Oryctolagus cuniculus: one gene and its partner. The protein of the gene in region 1 purifies or fractionates together with the protein of each later gene. This does not show direct contact. Links are inferred from orthologs where the notes say so. Each region holds a gene or a part of one and is shown on either strand. Other genes may lie near its edges.

Region 1 (4,234 bases):
TTTGCATTAGATTATCATGTAATAATCATTCTCATTTGAGCTCTCATATGCCAAGCATTTTGCATATATTATCTCATTTAATTTTCACAAAGGCCCATGAGAGACAACCATTATCCTTATTTTGCTGAAAAGACTGCGGCTCTAAGAAATCAAATCAAGAGACATGCCCATCAGCCTACCACTGGGTTGCAGAGAAGGTATTCACACCCAAACCTTTCTGAAAATAAAATATTTATAAATTCCCAGTTTTCCAATGGAGCATCATCTACCCAAGGCAGAATCAGTTTCTGTAAGTTCTTGAATGCCAAGAGCAAGCTTGAAGTCCATTTTGGAGGGAGAGTGAGGTGGGGTTGTGTTACCCATCAGGCAACTTGGCAGTGCAAATGGGGCCCCACAAAACTGTCTTTTTCCTTTAAGAAGAAAAAAATGAATGCGTAGGTCCGAGAAAAAGTTCTACTAATATGCTCATCTCTATCCTGCTGGAGTTGTAAAACATAAATTAAGTATAAATATGGAAATAAATATCTACAACACACAAAGCCAAAGTGCCCAGAGTCTAAGAAACGTGGCCTTGAACTGAGGCGTGTTCAGCTTTTCGGAGCAGTGATACTGGTGGGCCAAGGTGGATCCGGGAGGTGGTGGAGAGACTGTGATCAATGCGCTTCCCTTTCCCTGTCAAAGGCACCCGCAAAGCAAGGTTAAGAGAAACAGAGGTGAAACAGCGCAGCGAGCTCATCAACCCGAGCCTCAGTGCGGCCAGATAAAAACGTGGCATGTGCCTCCTGAGGTCCAATAAACACATTTTGAGGGAAAGCAGTAAGTCCTCAGAACACTGGCCAGTTTACAGTAAGGTGCCAGTAACGAAAAGCTGCTGGCATTAAAAATAATTAAAAAACAAAAAAGTCTTCAAGACCAAGCCAAGCCTCCAAAGACGCACGCCACCAGGTCCGCACGAACCTGCGCAAGTAACTTCCCCAGGAGGCGAGGGCTCGCCACTGCGCTTGCGCCCACGCGCGGTCCCCGGCCCCTCCGAGCACGAGAGCCAGCGGGGCGGGCCTCGGCGCCGGCGCGACGAGTCCAGAGGGGAAGCCTGGGGAAGGGGCGTGGCTACCGGACCCGCCTCGGCCACCCTCTTCCGGGCTCCGCAGCTGCGCGCGCACCTTCCCCCCCTTCTTTTGTGGTCCGGCCCATTGCGAGGGTGACAGGAAACCCTGTGCAGGGAGCGCCGCCATCTTGGACCAACCCGAGGAAGATCTTGAGGGAGCCTCAGGGGCAGTCGCCGCTGCCACCGCTGCTGCCGCTGGCGCGTCTGCACCCCTTGGCCAGCCCGCCTGCCTGCCGGGGCCTCGGCCGACCGCGCCCGCCCCGACTCGCGCTGCGGCCGCACTCCTCTTCCTCGTCCTGACGCCCCCCTCCCGCCCGGAAAGCTGCCCAGCTACCAGCAACCCCCCAGGTAACCCAGGCCTTCCGCAGTGTCCGTCCGGCCAAGGCCTGCTGGCCCGGCCCTTCCGAGGGGCGAGGGTGGGGACGGCGGCGAGCAGGGCCGCTGGCGGGCGGTGCCCCGGGCCAGGCCCTGCCAGGCCGCGGCGAGTCCTGGAGTCGGCGGCGCCGGCCTGACAGGACCCCCGCGCGGAGGCGGAGGTGTCCCCAGCGCTGCTGGCCGGCCCGAGGGCTGCGGGCCTCGCCTGCCCCGCCACCGCGGCCCGGCTGGCCGGAGGCGCGTCTCCCGCGGGCCCCGCTGCGGGGCCGCCCCCGCGGTGTTTACCCCCGCGCGCCGCGCCGCCCCCAGCCCCGGACGCCGAGTGCCCCTCCGGGGTAGGCCGCGGCGAGCCGCGAGTACAAAAGGCAGCCGCTCGCGTTGCCGCTGGCATCGTGGGCCGGCGCCGGTGCCCTTGTCGACGTGGGGGAACCCGCCTGTGGCTGGGGTCGCGGTCGGGGGCTGGGGGGGGTGTGCGTGCGAAAGCACGGGTGTTGGGGAGCCCCTGCGAGGCCCTGAACACGCCTCGTGTCTAGACGTCGTGAGCGAGGGAGAGAGTTGTGGCATGTCTGGAATTTAAGGAAAGAAACGGACAGGAGTGCGTGGAGGGCGTGCTCGCCGCTGTGTGCGGGGCACGGACGTAGGAGCCTGTCCGCGCACACACGCGCCTTGGAGCTAAGTTGTCACCGTTTTAGGGGCGAGGAAACTGAGGCCTGTAGTTGTGCTGTGGCTCATGGTGGCCTCTGCACACCGGCTTCTCCCCACACTGGCTGCTGCTTTCTGAGCTGCACGCAAAGTCCGGCGGGGGCTCCAGACAACGGGCACTTTAGGTATAGCCAGAACTCCTTTCCCGTTTTTTCCCCTCTGTTTGCATTGGCTGATAGCTGATTGCTTCTTGATGACCCGAAGCTCTGGCAGTCGCGACGCTGTCAGAAACCGTCATTCTCAGTCCCGGAGCAGAGAGGCAGGAGTTCCATTTGACGTGTGAGAAGTGGGCAGGTGCCGTGCCGGGGGCCCACGGGGAGTGTCAGGGCGCAGACGGCAACTCCTGCGAAGTTCACTGCTCCCCGCATTACTGTCCCGGCTGCCTTGTGTTTACACGTGCTTACTGAGGACAAGGTAACCTCAAGTCCAGTGAGCCCGCCTTCAACCTGTTTCCCCTGTGCCTTTCCAGCCATTTTTCTTCTGAGTTCTGCTGAGGTGATTTTACTTGGTCATGTCTTGAGGCATGTAGTGGTTTAGCGTTTGGGAGTCTTGGGGTTCCCACTCCAGTACTGCCACTTCCTAGTTCGTTAGGAGACCTTAGGCAAGTTACTTAACCTCTGAGACTCTGTCCTTACCTATAAAGGGGTGGTAGTCCTGCATCTTAGAGTTGCTGTGAGGATTAAATGCTAGTTAGACATTGCATGGCATATAGGTAATGCCTGGGAAGTACCACGCCCATGCTGGGTATTTAATATCTGTTGATTGAGAGGCATGGCTTTGGAGAGCTCAAGAATTAGACTTGGATTTTAATCCTAGCTCTCCGTCTGATAGCATATGACCACTGCTCTGTCACCTTTCTGACCTGGCATCCTTATTTGTTTGTAAAATGAACTGTTAGGGTTAGAGGTTATAAAGTAGCTGGGGACACTCAATACATGGCTGTTGTCAGATGTAAAATCTTCACATTCGAATAGCAGTTACGAAATTCTTGGAATTAAAGCTACATTTTAAAAAGTTTTTGTATTTTTCATGTTAAGGGTTGTATTTGTTCATACTTAATTTTGCACAGAATTTAGTGTTCTTACAGATCGTACAGATTTTTATCAATATCAAATACTTTTGCATAATCTTAGTAAAATATTGTACTATTGGAGTAAACTTTTGGTTGAAACAGTAAACTATTGAGTGATTTACTTTTTTAAATATCTAAAAATGCTAGGCATGGATAGAAACAATGTACAAATACATGTTAGAGATACTGTACCTATTTTTTAAAAAAACTTTATTTTAGGTAGTTTTAAGCGTAAATAAAATAATTTACTGAGTCTTAGATACACACCAGCCAATGTTAACAATAATCATTCTTCATTTTTATAAACCTTTCTCTTCCCTGCCAAATTATTTTGAAGCAGATCTCATCACTAAACTTCTCACTGTTTACTAATCCTTTTAACTCTAGTGGTAAGTGCAGGTTTTTTTGTGGCAGGAGGGGATTGTCATTAAATGTTTTTCTTCTGTGAACAGAGGTGCAATGTAGAAGTACTTTGGTTTCCTATTCATAGCACACCAGCATAATTAACTGCAAGATTTTTTTCTCTTGACACATTAAGCAGTTTAGTCACTTTTTCTTATCTACATTATTAATTTATATAAAAGTATGGCATTAAATGTTTTGCTAGTGAGTGGGTTATTTTCAGAGACTACTATGGTTGAGGAAAGGAAATTGACCACTCATTTTGATTAAATCAGATTGTTAGATGGACTGCCAAAGTTTTATGTTTGTCTGACAAATGAAGTGTCATTCCATTTCAGTGGGCTTGTAAACAAATCAGAATGCTCTGTTCTTGGCCTTCCATGAAGGCAGAGATGACATTGTCATTTTGATCATTACTATATTGTCAACGTGAGTTAAACTATAAAAGAACTAAAAAAAAAAAAAACCATCCTCTATTATTGGGTGTTGGTTTTTTATTTTGAGGCCAAATCATATGATTAACCTATATCATTGGTAAATGGGGAAATACGTTGGAAATGTTATGAGTGGGAGTTTTT
Region 2 (4,244 bases), on another chromosome or scaffold:
TCATGCTCTTCATCTTCACCTACGGCCTGCACATGATCCTCAGCCTCAAGACCATGGATCGCTTTGATGACCACAAGGGCCCTGCCATCTCTCTGACCCAGATCGTGTGACCCCGTGCCAGGGGGGAGGGGTTGTGGTTGTGATGGTGTCCAGGTTGTCATTTTCCCACCTTATGGTACATGGCACCCAAGGACCCCCTCTTGCTACCATAGCATGAACCCCCAGCTCCCCTCAGCCTGTCTCACTCCCTCATCAGCCTGCGGAGGGGCTTCCCCGAGGCTTCTCCCAGCCCTCCTGACAAGGTGTAGATATTCTGCATAGATTTTAGGCCTGTCTCCCGGGTCAGCCATGGGAAAGCACAGGGGCATTAGTTCTAGGGTCCCCTTTCTCCTCCCCTTATTTATTCTTCTCTATCTACCATAAGCTCTGGCTGTACATAGCGCTTTTGTGTAGCAAGTTCTCCCTCCCCCAGCTTTATGGGGCTCCCTACAGCAGCCAAGAGCTTCAGGTTGCCCGAGGTTGGCAGAATGTGGAAGTGACCACTTCTGTGTCCCGCTTGGCTGTCGTTGTTGTATCCTGGTGATGTTGTGTTAACAATCAACACTGTGCTGGGGTTTATTTCTGTGACTTCAGGAGGAAGGAACCTCCATGACAGGTGGGCTGGGCGTGACCACTGTGTTTCAGGAGCGCCTGGCAGGAGCCTGGCATGCTCCATTGTCTCCTTCCTAATAAAATAAAGATGGGTCGCCACACGTTGGGCCTCTTGTCATTCGTTTCTGGACTAGAAATGAGGAAAGCGTTGGACTGAGGGATGGGAGGAGGGCAGGAGGGCGGGCGGGTGCGGGGAGGGGGGGAGGTGGCCCTAGATGTATCCCAGCCAGGCCAAAATCCAGGAGCCAGGGCCCGCCAGGGACTCTTTTAGCAAACTGGGCCCCTAACCGGTTAAGGTAGGGAAGGAGTGGTCGGGACAGCGGTCGCCGCGACAATGGCAGCTTCAGCGTCGTGAGGGGGCCGCCCCCGGCTGCTGCAGCAGCGCGTGCCCGGCCCGCGGGGCCGCGCGGAGCCTCCCGGGGGGCGGGGCGGGGCGGGGCGCGCGCGGCTCCCGCGCACGGATCCCTCTCGGACCGCAGTACCGGTCATCGGACCGCCCCGCCTAGCTTCCTCTGGGTCCTTGGCAAACGGCGACGCCGGCAGAGCCGCACTGGTGCTAGGGCCCGAGTACCGGCAACCCTCTTAGGAGGCAAGCCAGGGAAGCGGTGATCACTGCTAGGCGTGGTGGGGCCTGGGGAAGTGTTGGGACTTTTTGACGCGGCGGAGGGGTCAGGCGGCGTTCGAAGTGCCGCCATCTTTGGTCCAGTGCGGCGGCGGCGGCGGCGGCGGCTGCTGCTGTGGTGAAACGGGAGGAGGAGCCGAGCGGGCGCTGGTACCAAGGCCTGACCATGGACGAGGAATACGATGTGATCGTGCTGGGGACCGGCCTCACCGTAAGTGTGGCCTCGGGCGCCTGCGCCTCCGCTTCGTGCCTTCCCGAATCCCTGCGATGATGCAGCCGCTGGCCGCCAAACCCATCCTCCCATCATTCCTATCCTCTGCCCTTGGGTCCCCGAAACGCCAGCCCCGTACCCACCCCACTGCCTTCTCTTTCCCCACTCCCCAGCCCCCTTGGCCTCGCGACGTCTTCTCTGCTCGCTGCCATGACCTCGAAGCGGGGTCTCCTGGCTGCTCCCTTGACTCCCTGGTGCCGACTCCCGGCCTCTCCCATCTTCCCTACCCTGCCCTGCTGGGCCGGAAAACGTATCCCCCACTCGGCCTGATGCCCCCCAGTCCCTCCCATCCAGTCCCCACCCATCGCCCCCACCCATCACCTTCCTAGTATTGTGCCCCCCCAACTTATACTAATCTTAGTAGGGGTGAAGTACGAGGACCTGGGGTTAGGGGGCCTTGCCAGGTTGGGGCCTCGTCCTGTGTTCCTGGCTGCTTCTGGGATCAGAAGAGCCAGGGAATGTTCCAGAATAACTAACAGCGAGGGCAGTGACCACATTCCCGCTCCCCCACCCTGGTTTCCCATGGAGACCTGAGGCTGAGCAATATCTGCAGCCTTTGTCCTTGGGCTGGTGACAGTGACTAGGGAGAATGTTCATCGTCCCCCTTCCCCCACAGCGTGTTCACCCGCTCCCCTGAGAGACACATTTCCCTCAGGCCAGGCCCAGATGCCCCTCCTGAGCCCAGGTGGGGAAGGCTTAGGGTCAGGGGCTCCTGGCCTTTGACGACGGAGCAGCCGAGGGTGGGGCCTGAGAGTCCAAGTGCCTTTCTTCACTTCCCTTTTGGGCGCCCTCTGCGGCCTGGCCAGGTCCGCTGTGTGCCTCATTGTGTCTTATCTGCCGGATTGTGCGGCTCTGCACTGATAGAGGACTTTCTTGGCAGTCGGTGCCATGAGACTGTCCTTGTGTCTGCTGGACACTCTGTCTCCCCCGACTCCTTCATTATTTCTCTCTGGTTCACCTCTGCTTAGCAGGGTAAAAAAGGAGACGGGCGGATGTAGCCATCGCCACCAGTGTTAGGCAAGGCGGCGGCGGCGGAGGCTGGGGGCGTGGAAGGAGCTGTCCATTGTGGCAGGCTTGGGGAGGAGAACAGATCAGGGCTGCTGGTGCGAAGTGGGCAGGTGGGAGCGCACCGGCTGTCCTCACACCCCTAGGAGTGCATCCTGTCTGGTATCATGTCTGTGAACGGGAAGAAGGTGCTGCACATGGACCGGAACCCCTACTATGGGGGCGAGAGCTCCTCCATCACTCCCCTGGAAGAGGTAAGGCTGCCAGCCTGGCCCAGGCCGGGCCCTTGGAAACCTCTCACTGGAGCCATAGTGTAGCAGCAGCGGGTGGCAGGGAGAGGGAGGGCCAGTCCTTGAGGTGTCTCTCTCTCTCCCCCTCCTGCTTACAGTTATATAAGCGTTTTCAGCTGCTGGAGGGGCCCCCTGAGTCGATGGGCCGGGGCCGAGACTGGAACGTTGACCTGATCCCCAAATTCCTCATGGCCAATGGTGAGGGAGATGGAGGAGCTGCTGCGGTTTTCCTAGGGGCGCGGTGGTGACTGGGAAGGACCGGAGGGGGTTGGGCTCCAGACAAGGGCCCGCCAGGCTGGCCAGAGCTCCTGCAGGGAGCTGTGCTGATGTTGTCCCCACCACAGGGCAGCTGGTAAAGATGCTCCTGTATACGGAGGTGACTCGCTACCTGGACTTCAAGGTGGTGGAGGGCAGCTTTGTCTACAAAGGCGGCAAGATCTACAAAGTGCCATCCACTGAGACCGAGGCCTTGGCTTCCAGTGAGTGTGGGTCTCCCGACCTCAGGGCGGGTGGCAAGGTAGACACCGGGAGCCGGCCACTGTACGCCCGAGGCTGCATCCCCTGTGAGGTAGCAGATGGCCCTTGCTCTGTTCCTGCTGCTGCCATGTGCCTCACCTCACAGCGGCTTGCTAGCAGGGCGATCCGCGTGCAGAGAGGAGTGGAGGGTGCTCCTTTTCGGAAGCCTGTGACAGGGGCTCCGCTTGAGCCCTGGAACATCTCTAAGTGTCGGAGCCAAGAGGGCCTTCAGAGTGTGCCCGGCCCAACCCCCTCTTCACATGGGTGGGGAAACCGAGGCCGAGACAGGTAGATTACGCTAAGGTCATGTGACAGACCTCACTGGGAGCCGGGATGCCAGCTTTCTCGGCCAGCCCACGGGGGTGGGGTTGGGGGGGGGCGGGAAGGAGAATTTTGTATTCTAGTGCAAAGGGTCCCCCCTTGCCGCCTTCTTCAGATCTGATGGGCATGTTTGAGAAACGGCGCTTCCGCAAGTTCCTGGTGTTTGTGGCAAACTTTGATGAGAATGACCCCAAGACCTTTGAGGGCGTCGATCCCCAGACTACCAGCATGCGTGACGTATACCGGAAGTTTGACCTGGGCCAGGATGTCATTGATTTCACTGGCCACGCGCTGGCACTCTACCGCACTGATGAGTGAGGGGAAGCTGGTGTGGCGCGGTCCCCTTGCCTGGCCTTTACCCTGCCTCCCCAACACCTGCCCACTGCTCCCTCTGCCTACCCTGCACATTTCTCGTACTCAGCCATAGGCTCCCCTGTTGCCTGTCCGCCCCTCCCCTGCACTTGACCCCCCGGCTCCCCTGGGCCATTCGGGGTGGTGGGGTGAGCCAGGGAGCCTGTTGGAGCATCTTCCCTGACCTCTGTCCCCCCAGCTACCTGGACCAGCCCTG

What was found.
Region 2: the proteins of RAB14 (region 1) and GDI1 purify together in Homo sapiens (affinity purification with mass spectrometry; 3 studies listed by BioGRID and IntAct, counting the BioPlex papers as one, with this or other methods). This does not show direct contact. The link is inferred for Oryctolagus cuniculus from reciprocal best matches to the Homo sapiens genes RAB14 and GDI1.

What each region holds. Positions count from the first base shown.
Region 1 is NC_091432.1:225,199,672-225,203,905, reverse strand, and holds the start of RAB14 (ras-related protein Rab-14), read left to right. Parts: upstream 1-1,320; 5' UTR 1,321-1,453; intron 1,454-4,234.
Region 2 is NC_091453.1:132,666,703-132,670,946, forward strand, and holds the start of GDI1 (rab GDP dissociation inhibitor alpha), read left to right. Parts: upstream 1-1,439; coding exon 1,440-1,484; intron 1,485-2,695; coding exon 2,696-2,803; intron 2,804-2,937; coding exon 2,938-3,037; intron 3,038-3,183; coding exon 3,184-3,318; intron 3,319-3,791; coding exon 3,792-3,990; intron 3,991-4,226; coding exon 4,227-4,244. UniProt on the Homo sapiens protein: Regulates the GDP/GTP exchange reaction of most Rab proteins by inhibiting the dissociation of GDP from them, and the subsequent binding of GTP to them. Promotes the dissociation of GDP-bound Rab proteins from the membrane and inhibits their activation.